Elephas maximus indicus: one gene and its partner. The protein of the gene in region 1 binds, or shares a complex with, the protein of each later gene. Links are inferred from orthologs where the notes say so. Each region holds a gene or a part of one and is shown in the gene's direction. Other genes may lie near its edges.

What was found.
Region 2: the proteins of NPR1 (region 1) and NPPA are in contact, whole or in part, in a crystal structure (PDB 7BRG), measured with the Rattus norvegicus proteins. The link is inferred for Elephas maximus indicus from reciprocal best matches to the Homo sapiens genes NPR1 and NPPA. Residues at the interface, in NP_036745.1 of Rattus norvegicus: Asp90, Val115, Tyr116, Ala119, Pro120, Arg123, Ala139, Leu140, Gly141, Ile142, Val144, Tyr148, Tyr182, Asp184, Leu186, Gly187, Asp188, Asp189, Arg190, Phe193, Phe194, Val196, Glu197, Tyr200, Met201, Arg204, His213, Gln214, Glu215, Phe216; in NP_036744.1 of Rattus norvegicus: Arg126, Ser127, Ser128, Cys129, Phe130, Gly131, Gly132, Arg133, Ile134, Asp135, Arg136, Ile137, Gly138, Ala139, Gln140, Ser141, Gly142, Leu143, Gly144, Cys145, Asn146, Ser147, Phe148, Arg149, Tyr150.

The regions. Positions count from the first base shown.
Region 1 is NC_064821.1:191,508,431-191,517,503, forward strand, and holds the start of NPR1 (atrial natriuretic peptide receptor 1), read left to right. Parts: upstream 1-5,125; 5' UTR 5,126-5,697; coding exon 5,698-6,409; intron 6,410-7,300; coding exon 7,301-7,500; intron 7,501-7,968; coding exon 7,969-8,082; intron 8,083-8,470; coding exon 8,471-8,606; intron 8,607-9,073. UniProt on the Homo sapiens protein: Receptor for the atrial natriuretic peptide NPPA/ANP and the brain natriuretic peptide NPPB/BNP which are potent vasoactive hormones playing a key role in cardiovascular homeostasis.
Region 2 is NC_064821.1:51,712,242-51,721,558, reverse strand, and holds NPPA (natriuretic peptides A), read left to right. Parts: upstream 1-5,963; 5' UTR 5,964-6,185; coding exon 6,186-6,308; intron 6,309-6,430; coding exon 6,431-6,757; intron 6,758-7,475; coding exon 7,476-7,487; 3' UTR 7,488-7,770; downstream 7,771-9,317.

The DNA.
Region 1 (9,073 bases):
TCCAGTTCTCGCCTCACTTTACAAATTCTCTGGAATATTTCATCCTTCAACCAGGTTTCGTCAACAACATGTACGGATTTACTGTATTTGCATTTAAATCCATCGTATTACTATGTGCTCTCTGTTGTCTCACCTGTAATCCCTTTTCTCCCCTTTCTTGCCTTCTTTTGCATTCATAGAGTAACGTTTATTATTCCGTCCCTCCCTCCCCCATCAATTGAAAATTACATACATTTTTTTCTACTTCTTAATGTTGAGTAATGTATTATGCCCATGTAACCACCACCCAGGTTAAAACAAAGAACATTTCCATGACCTCCGAAAATCACTTCACACCCCTTTGCCCTGCCCCTAGAGGCAATCACTATTCTGATCTCTATTATTATGGATTAGTTTTTGTCGGTCCTTGAACTTCATATAAGTGGACTTATACTGTATGTACTCTTTTATGCCTGGCTTCTTTCGCTCAACTCGTTTTGAGATGCTCGCACAGATTTGCATTGATCAACAATTTATTCTTTTTTATTTCTGAATAGCATTCCCTTGTGTAAATATATCACCATTTGTTTATCCATTCTCCTGTTGATGATGTCAGGACCGAAAACAGGCTGAGACATGCAAACACTTTTGGGTTGTTTCCATTTGAGGTCATATATGTAAAGCTGCTATGAACATTTTTGTAAAAGATTTCTTGGGGTCCTATACATTCATTAATCTCGGGTAGGTGTAGGTGTGTATATGTACAGTATTTAAATTCTATATTTTAAGTCTCAGAAGACTTTAATACTTATTTATTAAATTAATGGTCATTTAGAGGAGCCCATATGTGTGCCATTTTAATGCTCTTTATACCTTCCTGCATCTCCAACCTTCCATCTGGGGTAATACTCCTTCCGCCTGAAGAATACCCTTTAGAATTCAGTGCTTCCCTACTGGTGGCTGACTCTCTTGGTTTTGGTTTGTCTGAATATATTTTTATTTCACCGTTGTTACTGAAGGATATTTTCTCTGGGTATGGAATTCAAGCTTGAAAGTTATTTTCTTGCAGCACCTTTACAATATTATTCTACTGTCTTATGGCTTCCATTTTTTGCTGTAGAAAAAACACTTGTCAGTCTAATTGCTGCTCCTTTGAAAGTAATCTATCCTTTTTTTTTTCTTTTTTAAATATTTTTTCTTTGATTTAGTTTTCTACAGTTTTATTCTGCTGGGTCCAGGTATGGATTTTCTTTTTCTTAACCTTGTTTGAGGTTTGTTGAGCTTCAAGAATCCATGGCTTGACGCCTTTCATGCATTTTTAAACTTCTCAGCCACCTCTCTCCAAATATTGCTTCTACTCTATTATTTCTCTCCTTCCTGAAATTCCAAGTAAAGGTGTGTTGGCCTTTCTCACAGTATCCTCTATGTCTCTTTCATGTTTTCCTTTTCTTTTTTGTTTGTTCGTTTGTTTTCCATGCTTTATTCTGGGTAGTTTCTTCTGTCCTTTCTTCCAATTCACTAATTGATCCTCAATCAAGTCTAACCTGCTGTTAAATGTATCGATTGATCCTTAATTTTGGCTTTTGAATATTTTGGTTCTGGATTTTCTACTTACTTTTTTTTTTTAATAAAAGCTCATCTTTCATGAAATAAGAATCATTATATAGCTTTTAATGTCAAATCAAAGAACCATACTATTGGAAATACAGCACTGTCCCATTCCCACAAAAGTAATCTATTTACTTCAGGTTAACTCTTCTCCTAAATTTCCCCTAGGAGTCCAGCCTTTCGGGGTCGGTCCTAACCTAAAACAGGAAGGTAGTTTACCAGAGTCCTCACCTTTGGGGATATTTGCATTCCAATTTTTGTCTCACTAGCCTTACCACCTGTCTGTCACTTTGTCATATTGTGGTGACTTGCATGTTGCTGTGATGCTGGAAGCTATGTCACGAGTATTTCAAATACCAGCAGGGTCACCCATGGTGGTCAGGTTTCAGTGGAGCTTCCAGGCCAAGACAGACTGGAAAGGAAGGCCTAGCAATCTACTTCTGAAAATTAGCCGGTAAAAATCTCCTGGATCACAACAGAATAGTTTCCAATATAGTGCTGGAAGATGAGCCCCCTAGGTTGGAAGGCACTCAGAATACACAGTGACTGCAACAATGGACTCCAGAATGCCAAGGATCGTGAAGATGGTGTAGGACCGGGCAACCTCCTATTCCATTGTAGATGGGATCGCCATGAGTCAAATCCACTGAAAAGCAGCTAAGAAAAACAACAGCCCGCCAGCCTATTTTCTGCCACCAGTTCTGGATCAGCAAATGAACCCAGGGCAAAAACAGCCCTACAGCTGGGCTCAGCTCTTTGTTTTCTTGTCCTTTCATCTCTCAGACCAACAATTCCTCACTATCTTATTAGTTCTTTGATTTTTGAAAAAATATTTCTTTCAGCACTTGTAGTTGTCTCCAGCTCAGTTATTTAGTCCAGCGATATTGAAAGAGGAGCTCAATAACCATATTTTTCGCAAATAACCTGCACACCTAAATAACGTATCCACACATATAACGCACATACTGCCTAGGAAAATAACGTGCAAGGGGGTTGCTCCGTTGGCAAAAACATAATACGTGCATCATTTGCATAACAACTCAGGGCTAAACTGTATATCTAGTCCAGTCATTTCTTCTGACTCCAGCTCCACTAACCTAGTAGCTAATGAGACACCTCCATTTGGGTATCCACAGTCTTCTCAAACTCAACAGACTAAAATTGTTTTCATCCCCACCCAGCCTCAGTTATTTGTAAACTGTCTTCCCTTCCCAAAAATCTAATTGATTCTACTTTTGAAACATCTCCTATCTACCTCCACTGCCTCTGGAGCCCCCCTTACAGGATACAGACATTAAGCAATCCTTAGTCTATCACTGTCATGGATTGAGTTGTGTCCCCCAAAAATGTCTGTCAGCCTGGCTGGGCCATGAGTCCCAGTATTGTGTGATTGTCCACCATTTTATGTGATTTCCCTATGTGTTGCAAGTCCTATCACTATGATGGAATGAGATGGATTAGTGGCAGTTATATTGATGAGATATACAAGATTAGATAGTGTTTAAGCCAATGTCTTTGAAATATAAAAGAGAGAAGCAAGCAGAGAGACAGGGGAACCTCATACCACCAAGAAAGCAGCGCCAGGAGCAGAGTGCGTCCTTTGGACCTGCCGTTTCTGCACTGGGGTGCTCCCAGACCAAGGGAAGATTGATGCATCACAAGGACCTTCCTTCAGAGCCAACAGAGAGAATCTTCCCCTGGAGCTGCGCCCTGAATTCGGACTTCTAGCCTAGCGGACTGTAAGAGAATAAATTCTCTTTGTTAAAGACATTCACTTGTGGTATTTCTGTTATAGCAGCACTAGATAACTAACACAGTCACACAAAAGCTTTCAGGGTCTGCCCTTAGCAGCAGCTTCTCCTCCTCAGTCATTCCCGTGTGCAAACACCTTACGTGCTAGGTCAGTCTGAAAACAACTCCTACCATGACTAGGCAGGTGATGTGAATGAGTGAAGCAGGGTAGGAACTTGGATGAACTAGGCTCATCCAAAGGAGCTGAGGAGTAATTTGTTCCAGTTGATTGATTATGGGGGCTGCAGGACCGATATTGCCTGCTCCTCCGATATTTCAAGAAAAGCCAGAAATTGAGATGTTTACGTGTCGTCTGCTAATTTTTTAATGCGGGAAATGAAATAAAATATAGGTAGAGAGTGAAGGCCAAACAAAACATGCCTGCCATCTGAATTTGGCCCGTGAGCGCCATTTGCAACCTCCGCTCTAGACCATAACAATATTCAAAATTCTCCTAGAATTCCGTATATAGGAACGATACTTCAGTATTCTGTTCTCTCTGCACAGAATAGCTTTCTTAACCTTCAATTCTTGTCGAATTATTTGTAAATTTTCCTGATCCCCAATCCAGGCAGAATTCATAGCTCTTATCTGAGCACTCTGTGGTGCAATAGGTAAGCCTTTGGCTGCTAACCAAAAGGTCGGCAGTTCGGATCCACCAGCTGCTCCTTGGAAACTGTGGAGCTGTTCCAATCTGTCCTACAGGGTCACTGTGAGTCCGAATCGAATCGACGGCAACGGGTTTGGGTTTTTATGCTTTAAATGTGGGCATCTTAGCAATTTATCCATCTCTCTGTTGTAGTGCTTAACCATATTGTATTGCGCTATTTGTCCCAAACAGAGCTCCTCAAAGGCACGGACTATATACACGCATCAAGCCGGGCGCTTGAACCATAGTCGGTCCTTTGGCAATGTGCGCTGAATCGATGAAGTTTGATCTGTCCTGCCTACGCGCAGGATTGGGGGGTTAGCGACGCAATACCGTCAATGACTTCCACTGACCATTAGAGGGCAGACTGACTCCACGGAGGTCTGGACCAGCTGCCCAACCGTCCAATGCCCCAAATTGTTCTTCCCAATTGACACCTCCACAGGTCATTTCTAACGCCTTCTCCCACCGCCGCAGATCGCATTTTAGCAATCTTCTACAACACAGAGCAAACACATCCACTTTCCGGAAGCGGCCCTGAGGTCACACCTTCCCACCCACCCACCCACCCGAAAAACCAACTTCTTTCAACCTTTTGGGAACTAAAGAGTTAACTCTGTCCTCCCACTTGGTACATTTTCTCGGCTAATCCACTCAATCTAGAAAGCTGTGGGGAGGAAAGGGGCGGGGAACCATAGATGGACTGGGTAACCGGGACTCTGGGCTCGCTTTCTACTTTAACGCCTTTTCTAGAAACCCGTCGCCCTCTCGCCCCACCCCCAGCCACACACAGCCACACACTCACACCTTTTTCTGCCAGGTTCCCAAACTAGCATATCTTTCCCTCTTCCCCAGATGGAACCAGGTGGGAGGGGTAAAACAAGGTGGGTGCAGGGCCCTCGGCTGCTCCCACACACATCTCAATTCAGCGCTCCTTCCCATCCTCGCGAGGGAGCCCCTTCTGCGGGCGCCCCTTTCTGAGGAGGAAAAGGTTGTCCTGCCGAGAAGAGGAAAATGGGTCTAAGACAAAAGCCGCGGGCTGTGGGAGGGTGAAGGGAGCCGGAGACTTCGCGACCGGGAGGAAGGAGTTAAAGATCCAGGATTGGCTCTTCTGTCACCAAGCCTGGGAGGGGAAGCGGCCTGGAGGGGAGGGTTCGGAGCTTGGCTCGGGTCCTCCTCAGTCCCCACCGGACAGCAGGAGACTTGAGCCGGCCGGACACCCCTTCTGGCACACTCCCTGGGGCAGGCATCACGCACGCATACGAACACACTCCTGCTCCTTCCCTCCCTCGCGCCCTCTCCTAGCCTCCCCAGAGCGCTCGTTCTCTAGTTCGTTCCTACCCTCTCTCTCTCTCTCACACACACACACGCACACGCACACGCTCACGCTCACACTCAGATCCTCCCGGCTCGGGCGCTCTGGTTCCCGCGCCCACCTGCTCTGCTGCGCCCTCCGCGCGCCACGGGGCACGCCCGCCCGTCGCGCGCCCTCGCGCTCCTGGCCCTGACTGTCGCAGCCGGAGGCGGCAGCGTGCCCGGGGTGAGGGCCCCCGCCCCGCTCCTCCTCCCTCCTGCAGGGGCGCGCCGGGTGCCGGGACTAGCCGCTGAGCCACAGCGGACCAAAGAGGCCATGGTGGGAGCGCTCGCCCGCCTTGGTGCCCGCTGAGGCCATGCCCGGCCCCGGGCTCCCCGTGGGCGCCCGTCTGCCCCTGCTCCTGCTCCTGCCGCCACTGCTGCTGCTCCGGGGCACCCACGCCGGCAACCTGACGGTGGCTGTGGTGCTGCCGCTGGCCAACACCTCGTACCCGTGGTCGTGGGCGCGCGTGGGGCCGGCCGTGGAGCTGGCCCTAACCCGGGTGAAGGCGCGGCCCGACTTGCTGCCCGGCTGGACGGTCCGCACGGTGCTGGGCAGCAGCGAGAACGCGCTGGGCGCCTGCTCGGACACGGCCGCACCCCTGGCCGCCGTGGACCTCAAGTGGGAGCACAACCCCGCGGTGTTCCTGGGCCCGGGCTGCGTGTACGCGGCCGCCCCTGTGGGGCGCTTCACCGCGCACTGGCGGGTGCCGCTGCTGACCGCCGGCGCCGCGGCTCTGGGCTTCGGGAACAAGGACGAGTACGCACTGACTACCCGTTCGGGGCCCAGCCACGCCAAGCTGGGTGACTTTGTGGCGGCGCTGCACCGACGGCTGGGCTGGGAACGCCAGGCGCTCGTGCTCTACGCCTACCGGCCGGGCGACGACCAACCCTGCTTCTTTGTCGTGGAGGGGCTGTACATGCGGGTCCGCGACCACCTCAACATCACGGTGGACCACCTGGAGTTCGCCGAGAATGACCGCGACCGCTACGCCCCGCTGCTGCAGACCGTGCGGAGAAAGAGCAGAGGTGAGTGGCGGGCACACCCAGCCCCGCCGCTTTGCCCCGGGGCCATCTTTTTTAACTCGATGTAGGCTTAGGGATTCCTTTCGCTCCTCTGGGCCAGTCTTCTTTCTTGTCCCAATGGCTCTTCGCTCTCGTCCCAGGCTCCCTGGACCCTTCTCTCTTCTCACCTCCCAGTCACCTCCACCTCTCCCACCTCTATCCCACCGGGTTCCTTTGGCGTTAACCCATTGCTGTCAGTCAATTCCGACTCATAGTGACCCCATGTGTTACAAAGCAGAACTGAGCTCCATAGGGTTTTCTAGGCTATAATCTTTTACGGAAGCAGATCGCCAGGCCTTTTGTCATGGCACAGGTCGGTGGGTTCAAACTGCCAATCTTAATGTTGGTAGCTGAGTAAACCGAGCGAGAAAATGATCTGCGTCACCCTGGCACTTAGTAGACACCTGGCTTAGTTCCCATTCCTTTTTTTCTCCCCCATTTTCTGTCTCTTACAGCATTCTCCCTTCCTCCATCCCCTCCTGCCATTGCTCCCCCACTAGGGCTCCTCTCCTAGTCCCTTCTCCAGCTGGCTCCTCCTCTCCCTCTCCCACCTCTCCTGGCCCCACCTTCCCCATCTTCAGCTTCTCCACTCTCGCCTCTCCCTTATGCTCTGATCTTTCCACCCTTCCACCCTGTCTGCCTCTTCTCTCCACCCTTCATTTTTCTCCTGCCACAGCCTGGACTGAGCCAGGAGTTGCCACTTAACGCCCACAGGGAGTCAGTCCCCAGGGTCTCTCATGTCCTCATCTCTGAGCTTCCTTCTCTGGGTGTCCCAGTTTTCCTCCCTGGTGTCTTCCCTGTCCCACTCCCCCAGGGCCTAGGCCTCTCTCTCCCTGACTCCCCCTTCTCCCCCAGTTATCTACATCTGCAGCTCCCCAGATGCCTTCAGAACCCTGATGCTCCTAGCCCTGGAAGCTGGCCTGAGTGGGGAGGACTATGTTTTCTTCCATCTGGATCTTTTTGGGCAAAGCCTGCAAGGTGCACACGGCCCTGCTCCCCAAAGGCCCTGGGAGAGAGGGGATGGTCAGGATGTCAGTGCCCATCAGGCCTTTCAGGTGAGTGCCCAGGTTGGAAGCCCAGGCTGTGGGACTCTGCCCTCGTGGCATGTCGCCTCTGGGCACTGGGTCCCCTCAGGGTCTGAAAGGATTCCAAGAAAGACGTTCTTAATGTTCACAGGGAGCTACATGGTGAAGGGCAAGGGGGCTGGGGGGAGAAGGGTACAGAGAACTGGAGTGGGGGTGGGGTTGAGCACCTGGAGGTGAAAAAGATAGGAGAATGGACTTGAGGTGGGAGGACGTCAAAGTCCCACAGACTGGACAGCACTTGGAGAAGCTGTTCCATTCCACTGGACCTCTGGCTTTGAGGCACACACCACCTCATGCAAAACTTAGGGGCCAGTTTTACCTTGAGCTGAGCAGACATACAACTCTGCGAGGTAGGTTCCCAGGTAGCTGGGACCCCAGGATCCTAGGAGGTCTGGAATCTTCTCCCAGCTCTGCCCTCTCCACTGTCCATTTCCTCAGGCTGCCAAGATCATTACATACAAACAGCCGGATAATCCTGAGTACCTGGAATTCCTGAAGCAGCTAAAACACTTGGCCCGTGAGCAGTTCAACTTTACCATGGAAGATGGCCTGGTAGGAGGGGTCCCCTGTCCTGGGACCCTCCTGGCATGAACCCCCAGCCCCATCTGCCGGTCTCCATCCTGTCTTCTCTGCCATCTCACTGGTCCCAGGTCTCCCTTCTCTCCCTTCCCATTGTTTCTGTGTCTCTCCTGATGATGGAGGGGGATACTGGCAAGCTGTTCAACCTCTATGAAACTCTGGTCTTCATCAGTAAAATGGGGACCCTCCTCAGAAGTGAAGCCGTCTTACAAGTAGTAACTCTCTCTTTCACGTGAGGGTGTTATTTTATCCCATCCTCTTCCAAATTCTTGGTTCCCCCAGTTCCCTCTGCCTCAGTGCCCAGCTCCAGCCCTGTGCCCACCATACACTTGACCCCAGTCAAGCTCTGTTTGCCTTACAGGTGAACATCATCCCAGCATCCTTCCATGATGGGCTCCTCCTCTATGTCCAGGCAGTGACAGAGACTCTGGCATATGGCGGGACTGTCACTGATGGGGAGGGCATTGTTCAGAGAATGTGGAACCAAAGCTTCCAAGGTGAGAGGTGCAGGTGGCTAGAGATGGGCCCCTGGAGAAAGCAGTGCGTAGTCACTCACGAACGCCGGTCTTTTTCCCTCACCTATAATATGAAGAACTTCCACAGCTTCCTTCATGCCCTCCTTCCCTTGTCTGCACTAGGCCCAGTGAGAAATCTCCCCAAAAAGACAGTAGATAAGTGGTAACTTTGGTAAAGGGTAAGACAGTACACAATACTGGGGAAGCCAGCACAACTTGTCCAAGGCAATGTCATGGAAGCTCCGTAGACACACCCAAACTCCCTGAGGGACTGAACTGCTGGGCTGAGGGCTGTGAGGACTGTGATCTTGGGGAATGTCTAGCTCAATTGGCAGAACACGGTTTATAAAGAAAATGTTCTACATCCTACTCTGGCAAGTAGAGTCGGGGGTCTTAAAAGCTTGAGCGGCCATCTAAGATATTCCACTGGTCTCACCCCATCTGGAACA
Region 2 (9,317 bases), about 140 Mb from region 1:
TTCTGGTCGTATTTCTTCCAAGACAGATTTGTTCATCCTTTTGGGAGTCTATGGTATATTCAATATTCTTCGCCAACGCTACAACTCAAAGGCGTCAATTCTTCTTTGGTCTTCCTTATTCCTTGTCCAGCTTTTGCATGCATACGAGACAATTGAAAACACCATGGCTTGGGTCAAGTGCACCTTAGTCTTCAAGGTGACATTTTTGCTTTTCAACACTTTAAAGAGGTCTTTTGCAGCTGGTTTGCCCAATGCAACGCATCTTTTGATTTCTTGACTACTGCTTCCATGGGTGTTGACTGTGGACCCAAGTGAAATCCTTGACAGCTTCAGACTTTTCTCTGTTTATCATGATGTTGCTTATTGTTCCACTTGTGAGGACTTTTGTTTTCTTTATGTTGAGGTGTAATCCATACTGAAGGCTGTGGTCTTTGATCCTCATCAGTAAGTGCTTCAAGTTCTCTTCACTTTCAGCAAGCAAGGCTGTGTCATCCGCATATTCCAGATTGTTAATGAATGTGCCTCCAATCCTGATGCCCCGTTCTTCTTCATATAGTCCAGCTTCTCGGGTTATTTGTTCAGCATACAGATCGAATTAAGTATGGTGAAAGGGTACAACCCTGACACACAACTTTGCTGACTTTAAGTGTTCTTTCCAGAACACTTGATTGTGCTCATGAGGAAAGTATACATAGATCAAGAAGGAGTTGTTTGAACGGAACAAGAGGATATTTCACGGTTCAAAATCAGGAAAGGTGGACAAGAGAGACTGACACAATAGCTGCAACAATGGGCCCAAATATAGCAACAATTGTGAGGATGGCAGTATTTTGTTCTGTTGCACATAGGTCCCGGTGATTTGGAACCAACTCGATGGCAATCAACTTGGAATCTTTCTTGACTTCATTCTCTCGGTGGACCTTCCCAAGCAGGCACCACCTCCACTCTTACCTTCCTTCATAGCATCTCCTTCCCTTCTCTTCCTGGTTCAGCCCCTCATCACTTATGCTGATATGGGTACACCACTTCCTACTTCCTAGCTGACCTTTCTATCCAGACTCCCCTAATCCTTTTCTTCCTGCATCAGTGGAGAGATCAGAATATTCATGCTTCAGCCAGAGAGTGATTTCCACTTCTGCTGGGGACCGAGGGAGGGCAAGGTGCAGTAGTGGGTCTGTACCTGGTTGAAGGAGGGGAGGGGAGGCACTGAAGGCAAACTTGTTGGTTCAGTTATTCACAAAACATGTTCTGAAAACATGTTCTGGAGTCTGTGCTAGATGCTGGGTGCCGTAGTGTCCTGAAGTTGATTCATGCTCAACCTCATATCTGCTTGGCCCGCCTATACCTCTGACTCCCAGGAAATACAGCTTTAACAACAGCTGGTATGGTTCCCGTGACTTCGAAGCCCTGGTGGCTGCCACTACCCTCCTCCCTTGGTACTACCACCATATGTTCCCAGGAGCAGCTCCAACTGGCAAGGAGAGATGGAACCTGAGGACCAGACCTTGGATCCTTGCTGACTGTTGGTTGAAGACCTCAGTTCCTTGCCACATAAGGCAGCTCACAATGTGGCAACTGACCTCTTAGATGGAGTGAGAAAGCATGTGCACAAAAGAGAGACGGACAGACAGGGAGATGGGGCAATGATGGAAGCCATAGTCTCATCGTCACCTAAAGTCAGAAGTGACATCCCATGACTTTTGTTCTATTCTATTCACAACTAAATGAAACAATCCCAGTCCTGCACCATCCCCATGATCAGTTGTGGATTGGACCATTGTGATCCACAGGGTTTTCACTGGCTGATTTTCAGAGGTAGATTGCCAAGCCTGTCTTCCTAGTCTATCTTAGTCTGGAAGCTCTGTTGAAACCTATTCAGCACCATAGCAACATGCAAGCCTCCACTGAGAGACAGGTGGTGGCTGCACATGAGGTGCATTGGCTGAGAATCAAACCTCCAACATGGCAGGTAAGAATTCTACCACTGAACTACCAATGCCTTCTTACCTTGAATTGGAACCCCTATAAAGCTGCAGTAAGTGAGCTTTTGCCTTGGGCTTTGTTTCCTAGGGAAGGTGGGCAGTGAACCAGGCTGAATCACTGCTCTCATGGTAGTCACTATCCAGCTGAGGAAGTAGCTTTCTCTATTTCCTTGTTCTACTTTGGGACCTGCCCTGGGCTTCCAGTCCCCAGTGAGTCCATATTGTATGCAAGAAAAAGAACAGCACCTTCAAACTCAGAAACAACCGTCCCTAAGTATGCAACGGCGTCCTAACAGTTTCTCCCAACTGGGGCTTCTGCTTTAGACTATCTGGGTCTGACAGAATCATGTTATGACTGAGATGGGTTTTTCCTGCTAGTTCTGCCCACGTGTGCTCCCTGCAGCAGCCCCCACATTCCCATGGAAGGTTGTGAGACCAAGCTCTGGTCTAGCAACTGGAGACGCCCAGACTCTGGGTTCTCCTACCCATCCGCACTGCTCATTCTCTCATTTGACTAAGACAACTTCTTGCCTGTGATAAAGAAATAAACACTTGCGATTTTTCAGCTAGAGAGGTAGGGGTGGAGGGTGGATCTGATTTTTTGCGTCTTTTGCTTTTTTCTCTCTCTCACTCCTACAGACTGGCTTCCAAACACCCCTTCCTCCACCTCTCCACACACACCCCGAAGTTGAGCAGGGCATGGAAGTGAAGAGAAATGTTATGTCAAGCCATTTTCCATTTCAGGCTGAAATCAAAAGCTTTAATGGGGATATCAGTGCTTTTGAGGATTTTCTGTTTTCGCTGGGCCCTGGGAGGTGGTAGTCCTGGCTCTATGAAAGCCCTCAGGGCAGGAAGCCTGAATGTCCTTTGTCTTAGAAAAAAATAATAATAATAAAACTTACACACACACAAACACAAATTTGACTAGCAGAAGAAACTCAACAAATGATGCTTGTGTCCCACTCTAGTTTCACTCTGGGAGCAGAAAAGTGACTGCAATAAAAGGAAGCGAGCAAATTCCGAAATTGTCTTTCTGGAATCTTGGATGAGATTCTACTTCACCTTGGGCCACCTACAGTCTCCTACAGGCTTCAGAAATGACTCAGGGTAGAGCAGCCACGTGGCCCTCAGAGGCCGAGCCATCAAGAAGGGGCCACCTGCCTTGATGCAGGCCTCGAAGTCTTCCTCCATCAAAGGCCTATCTCAAAGGGCATCTCCAGGAGACAGGCTGTGTGACGCACGCGGCATCAGCTCCCCCCAGCGTGGCTGCAGGCTGGATCCTCTCTGCTAATAATAACTTCCAGCCGAGCAATTATGCTGTGAGCACATTTCGGGGACGCATCAGGGTATGGGGGTGTTTAGTTCCCAGAGCTCCTACTCAGAACTGTGGCCCATTTCAGATGCCAAGTTGAGTTTGACTGACCCAGATAAGTTACCCAAACCCCCAAGCTTTCTGAAGAGGATCCCTTTTTCCTTCCGTCTTACAATAAAATCACTCTGCACACCTGTGGGGACCTCTGGCCACCAACTGCCCTAATGCCCTGTCTTCTCATGGTGTAACAGCCTCTCTGCCTGGTTGGTCACAGAGTAAGTGCAGCTGCAGAAGGATTTGGCCAGGACAGAGCTGGTTGTTCAACATACATTTTCTGAATTTCCATGTTGTCATTAGTTGCCATTGAGTCAGCTCCCATTCATGGCGACCTTACATATTGCCTGGTTCTGCACCATCTTAATGATCGTTGGTATGTTTGAGTCCATTATTGAGATTATTCTCTCACTCCATCTCATTGAGGGTTTCTCTTGTTTTCATTGGCCTTGTTCTTCATCAAGTAGATGTCCTTTTCTAGTGATTGGTCTTTCCTGATGACATGTCCAAAGTAAGTGAGTTGAAGTCTTGTTATTCTAGCTCCTAAGGAGCATTCTGGTTGGTATTAGGTGTGTAAACAGATTATGGGGACTGGATGAGCCCTTTCTTTAAGAAAATCCAAATGGGGAGAGCAGCCAAACACAGAGAGATTTGTCCCACACACAAAGCTACAAGCCCAGCTGCAGTAGGAGGCAAGAGATGTTCAGGGTAATGGGAGAGATCAAGTGTGGGGGGAGGCATTTAATCAGGAAATGCACCCAAGGGCTTGTTAATGAGCCGCCATGTGAAATGGGTTAAGATCATGGGCTTAAGTATCAAACCTGGGGCTCAAGTCCTGGTTCTGCCAATTGGGCAAATGACATGGCCTTGGGCGAGTGACATAATCTCTCCAAGTCTCAGTTCTGGCTCTCTGCAAATGGGAACAATACTACCCACCTCCTGGGAGCGGTGAGGAAAATCAAGTAATTCACATCAAGCTCTCAGCAGAGTGCCAGCTCATTGTAACTGATCAATAAAAGACCATCATTACTACCCCCTTGCAATTATATAGCATCTCACACTTCACACAGTGCTGGCTCTATTGAGCCTCACAACTGCCCTGTGAAGTGGGCAGGACAGCTTTTTATATTTTTCTCATAGATGAGGAAATGGGGGTCCCAAAAACTTATGCAACTGGTTTGTTTTTGGGCTACAATGCAGGTTTCTCAACCTTTCAGTTTTAGTATTTTTTCTTCCAGTATGCATTGCCAGCTGTCTGTCAGTGTGTTGTACAACGGTGACTTGCATATTGCTATGCTAAGCTTGTTTACAAGCTATGTCGCTGGTATTTTAAATATCAGCCTAGTCATCCATGGCAGACAGGTTTCAGTGGAGCTTCCAGACTAAGAGGGTGGGAAGAAAGACCTGGTCATCTATGTCCAAAAATGAGCCAATGAAAACCCCATGGACAACAGGATATTGTCCAATATAGTGCTGGAAGATGAGCCCCTAGACTGGAAGGCACCCAAAATATACAGTGGCTACAACAATGGACTCAGCTATACCAACGATCATCAAGATGGGGCAGGAATGGGCAATGTTTCTTTCTGTTGTGCATGGGGTCGCCATGAGACGGAGCCAACTCTATGACAGCTAACAACAGCAACATGCGTTGCATTGAATGGTATACTAAAGTCGAGTTCAGCACTTAGAATGTGGGGGCCACTCATTAAATGTGGACAGACTCGCTGCCTATTATTTGTCCTTGGGGTTCAGGAAAATTGAGGCCTTAAGTGGTTCAGTCACTTGGCTGGCCCTGGAGAAGGACATGGTGGGTTTTAACGGAAACTGTGTACATCAGGTTTGCCTCCCACCTCATTGTATCCAGCCATCAAAGCTTTCATGGGAAGGGTGGGGGGCCATTACAAGCATCAAACTCAACAAGTCTGAGCTTCTATAAACAGTGAGGTGAAGAAATAAAAACACCGGCATCTTCTAAGTGCCTACCTCCCTGGACACCTTGGATGGGATCATGGGGGATGGGAAGGAGACAGAGTTTGGAAGAGGAATGACTGATTCCCCCAGCTTTTCTTGGTGTTTGTATTTGGGAGCTGAATTCTTGAGACGTTCATCACATTTGGTTCCTGGCTGATTTAATACTCTAAAAAATAGCTCCCTCTTCACCTGACTGCTGAGAGTGACTATCAGAAGTGTGGGCGGTCTTGTCTCAAACAGAGGCAGGAGGTCTGCCACGCTTGCTCATGAGTCAGGTGTGAGGCCAGCCTGAGCATCTGGGCTGATTTGTCCTGAGCTGCCGGCTGCCTGCCATTTCCTCCTGTCCCGCCCTTATTTGGAGCCGCTGCCAGCGGAACCACAAACCAACTGGGGGAGCTGGGCGCCGGCCAACCGCCACCCTTCACTTCCCTGCATGGGTCCTGTTGCTGAGGAGAAAGAATCCTGAGGCATCACTGTGAGATAACCAAGGACTCTTTTTTGCTCTTCTCACACCTTTGAAGTGGGAGCCTCTTGAAGCCAATCAGCAAGAATGTGGCTCTTGTAGCCGAGGGTCTGGGGGGTTGCTGGGGCTGCTCAAGGCAGAGGGGCTGGGACAAGCTCTGCTGGGCTGATAACTTTAAAAGGGCATCTTCTGCTGGCTCCTCACTCAGCTGCTTTATCGCTGCAAGTGACAGAATGGGGAGGGTTCCATCCCTCTTGTGCTCTCGGAGAGCTGGGGGGGCTATAAAAGGAGGCGGCTCAGGGCAGCTGGTAGGCAGAGACGGACGAAGACCACGAGAAGGAACCCAGAGAGGAAGGAGAAGACGCAGCAAGCACCAGACCAGCTCTTGGCCAACGCCAGCATGGGCTCCTTCTCCACCATCACTGTGTGCTTCCTCCTTTTCCTGGCATTTCAACTCCCAGGTCAAATCAGAGCGAACCCTGTGTACACCTCCGTGTCCAATGCAGACCTGATGGATTTCAAGGTAGGGCCAAGAAAGGGGGCTTAGCCTGGGACCAAGGGGCTTTCTGATACTGTGCCTATTTCTGGTGATTTTCTCCGAGCCCATGAGAACTTTCCCTTTCCCTGTATTTTCCTTTTGTAAAGAATTTGCTGGACCATTTGGAGGACAAGATGCCTTTAGAAGATGAGGTCGTGCCCCCGCAAGTACTAAACGAGCAGAATGATGAGGCTGGGGTGGCTGTCAACCCCCTGCCTGAGGTGCCTCCCTGGACCAGGGAGGTCAGCCCAGCTCAGCGAGATGGGGGTGCTCTTGGGAGGGGCCCCTGGGACTCCTCCGAAAGATCTGCCCTCCTGAAAAACAAGCTGAGGGCACTACTCACTGCCCCTCGGAGCCTGCGGAGGTCCAGCTGCTTCGGGGGCAGGATTGACAGGATTGGATCCCAGAGTGGCCTCGGCTGCAACAGTTTCCGGGTAAGAGGAGTGGGGGTAGAAATGGGGTGGGGAGGAAAGAGATTGTGGCTTTGTTGAAGCTGAAACCTTGTCAAAGAACACAACCAGGGGACACTTTCAGCAGGAAAGGAGCCAGCATAAAGGCTTGTTCCCTTTGAAATTTCTGCCCTAACTTGGTGGGTGGCCCTTCAGGACAAATGCCATCATCCTCAGCTACTGCCACTACCCTTTTCTCCATTGCTGTCAAGTGGATTTTGACTCATAGCAACCCTATAGGACAGAGTATAACTGTCCTATAGGGTTTCCAAGGCTGTAAATCTTTATGGAAGCAGGCTTTCCCTCGCAGTGGCTGGTGAGTTCGAACTGCCGACCTTTCAGTTATCAGCCAAGTGCTTAACCACGGCACCACCAGGGCTCATTCCTACTGCCACTAGCACAGAGAAATTAAAATGTTCATAGGCCCAAGTCATCTTTGTACTGCTGATTGGCATTCATGTTCCTTCCCAGAATTGCAAGATTCCAAAAGATCAAGTGAAATTGACAAGGGCTGCCCTCACTAGCTGCTAATGAGTAACTTGTTTACCAGTTCTTGAAACTCAGAGAGTCATCAGGGTGAGCATGGGAGCTGGTAGAAGTAACTGGTCAGAGGTCTAGTTCAGAGATGTAGCACTGTCATCCAAAGCTGACTTTTCCTGTAGAGCTGGTCACTGAGCCCAACATGTCTGTGTTCTTTTTGTAGTACCGAAGATAATGGCCAGGGAAGAAAAGGTGGCCCAGACCCAGGCAGACTCCGAGACCCTCACCCCCTGGGATCTCTCACTCAACCTTGTCCTACCCCATGGCCATCGAGTTGACGAGCACCTGTTCCAGCAGCAGCTTCTGGTCAACGTTTCTCATATTTTATGCTAACTGTAGATAAAATGGGTTAATTGTGTCTTCCCCCGCCTCTCCTACCCCCATGCCATTAACTTTTAGGATACACCCCACCTGCTACTGAAAGCGGTTTGAAAATGAATAAATGTCAGCACCATGGACAGAAGCCAATGGCTTGGGTTGGTGTGATTTCTTTCGTTTCCAGGGGAAGAGAATCCAGCCCAATTTACCTTGTCAAAGGAGCCCTGGTGGTGCTGTGGTTAAGCGTATGGCTGCTAACTGAAAAATCAGCAGTTGGTGGTTCGAACCCACCAACTTCTCTGAGGGAGAAAGATGTGGCAGTCTGCTTCCATAAAGATTACAGCCTTGGGAACCTTATGTGGACAGTTCTGCTCTGTTCTGTGAGTTGGAATTGACTTGAAGGCAACAAGGCTTTTTTTATTCCTTGTCATTTTACCCTTTGTCAGAAGAATGCTCAGGTTTTTTTTTCTCTTTTCTTTCCTTCCTCCCTCCCTCCCTTTTTTCTTTGGCCTCAAACTACAGTTCTCAACCTGCTCTGCTTTTCGTTCTAACCTCAGTCACGATCCTGAGAAATGCCCAGGAGAAAGTTTAGTTTGCATTTGCTCACATCCACCAAACCAAACCAAATTCGTTGCCATCAAGTCCATCCTGGCTCATAGCAACCCTATAGGACAGGGTAGAACTGCCCCATAGAGTTCCCAAGGAGCACCTAGTGGATTTGATCTGCTGACCCTTTGGTTAGCAGAGTAGCTCTTAACCACTACACCACTAGGCACTTATTTATTGAAACACAGACTTACAAACAACTGGACTTATTTTCTGGTTATACCTAACATAGCTTGTGCTCAATAGACAATTTTTGCACTTGTAGGCTTTTTGGTTACAGTTATTTTCAAGAACCACTGAATTTCCTCTGATATATTTTGAGAGAGCGACCTGCTGGAGGCGAGTGAGTTGCACTTCTAGTTTGGAAAAAAGGAGGCAGCGTGTTGGGTTTAAAAACGGAGGAAGAGAAGAAAAATATTTGCTCTGCTGACAGAGAGTTTATGTGTCTTTCGAGTGTTAACACATGTGCCTAAAATATAGCCATTGGCTTTTCCTAATTCAAGTTCAAGGTGCCTGGACTTGTGGACTTTACTGAGAATATGAGAACCACGAGGGGAGATGCAGCATTTTGGAGTCTGCTTCTGAAAAGGGTGTTGTCCTAAGCAGAAAACACCAGGCATTAAGTTCACCTAGAACAGGAAGTAATACTTTAAACTATTTTCCCATCTGTTACCCCCTGAATCTCATTCTCCATATCAGATCCTGTGCCCCTCCTTCAGGCCTCCTATACCCACCTATGCCCTTCTCTGTGCCCTTACTTATGCTGTTTCTTCCACCTGGAAGGCCCTTAATCCAGTCCTCCTGAGAACATTCTACTCATTCCTCAAGGCTCATTCCAAATGCCACTTTTTCCCTGAAGTCTTCCCTGATACCATGTGTCAGTAAAAACTTAATCTCCTCTTCCTCTCTCCACGGGCAGCATTGCATATGCAGCTGTCCCAAGATGACACAATGTTGTGTGTGTCTATATCCCAAACAAGATTGTAAGTTTCTTGAAGACAAATGTCCCTTCAGCACCTCTTGCAGCTCATGGTACTCAGTGCTCAATAAACATGGGTCAAATTGTCTTGGTTTTGTACAG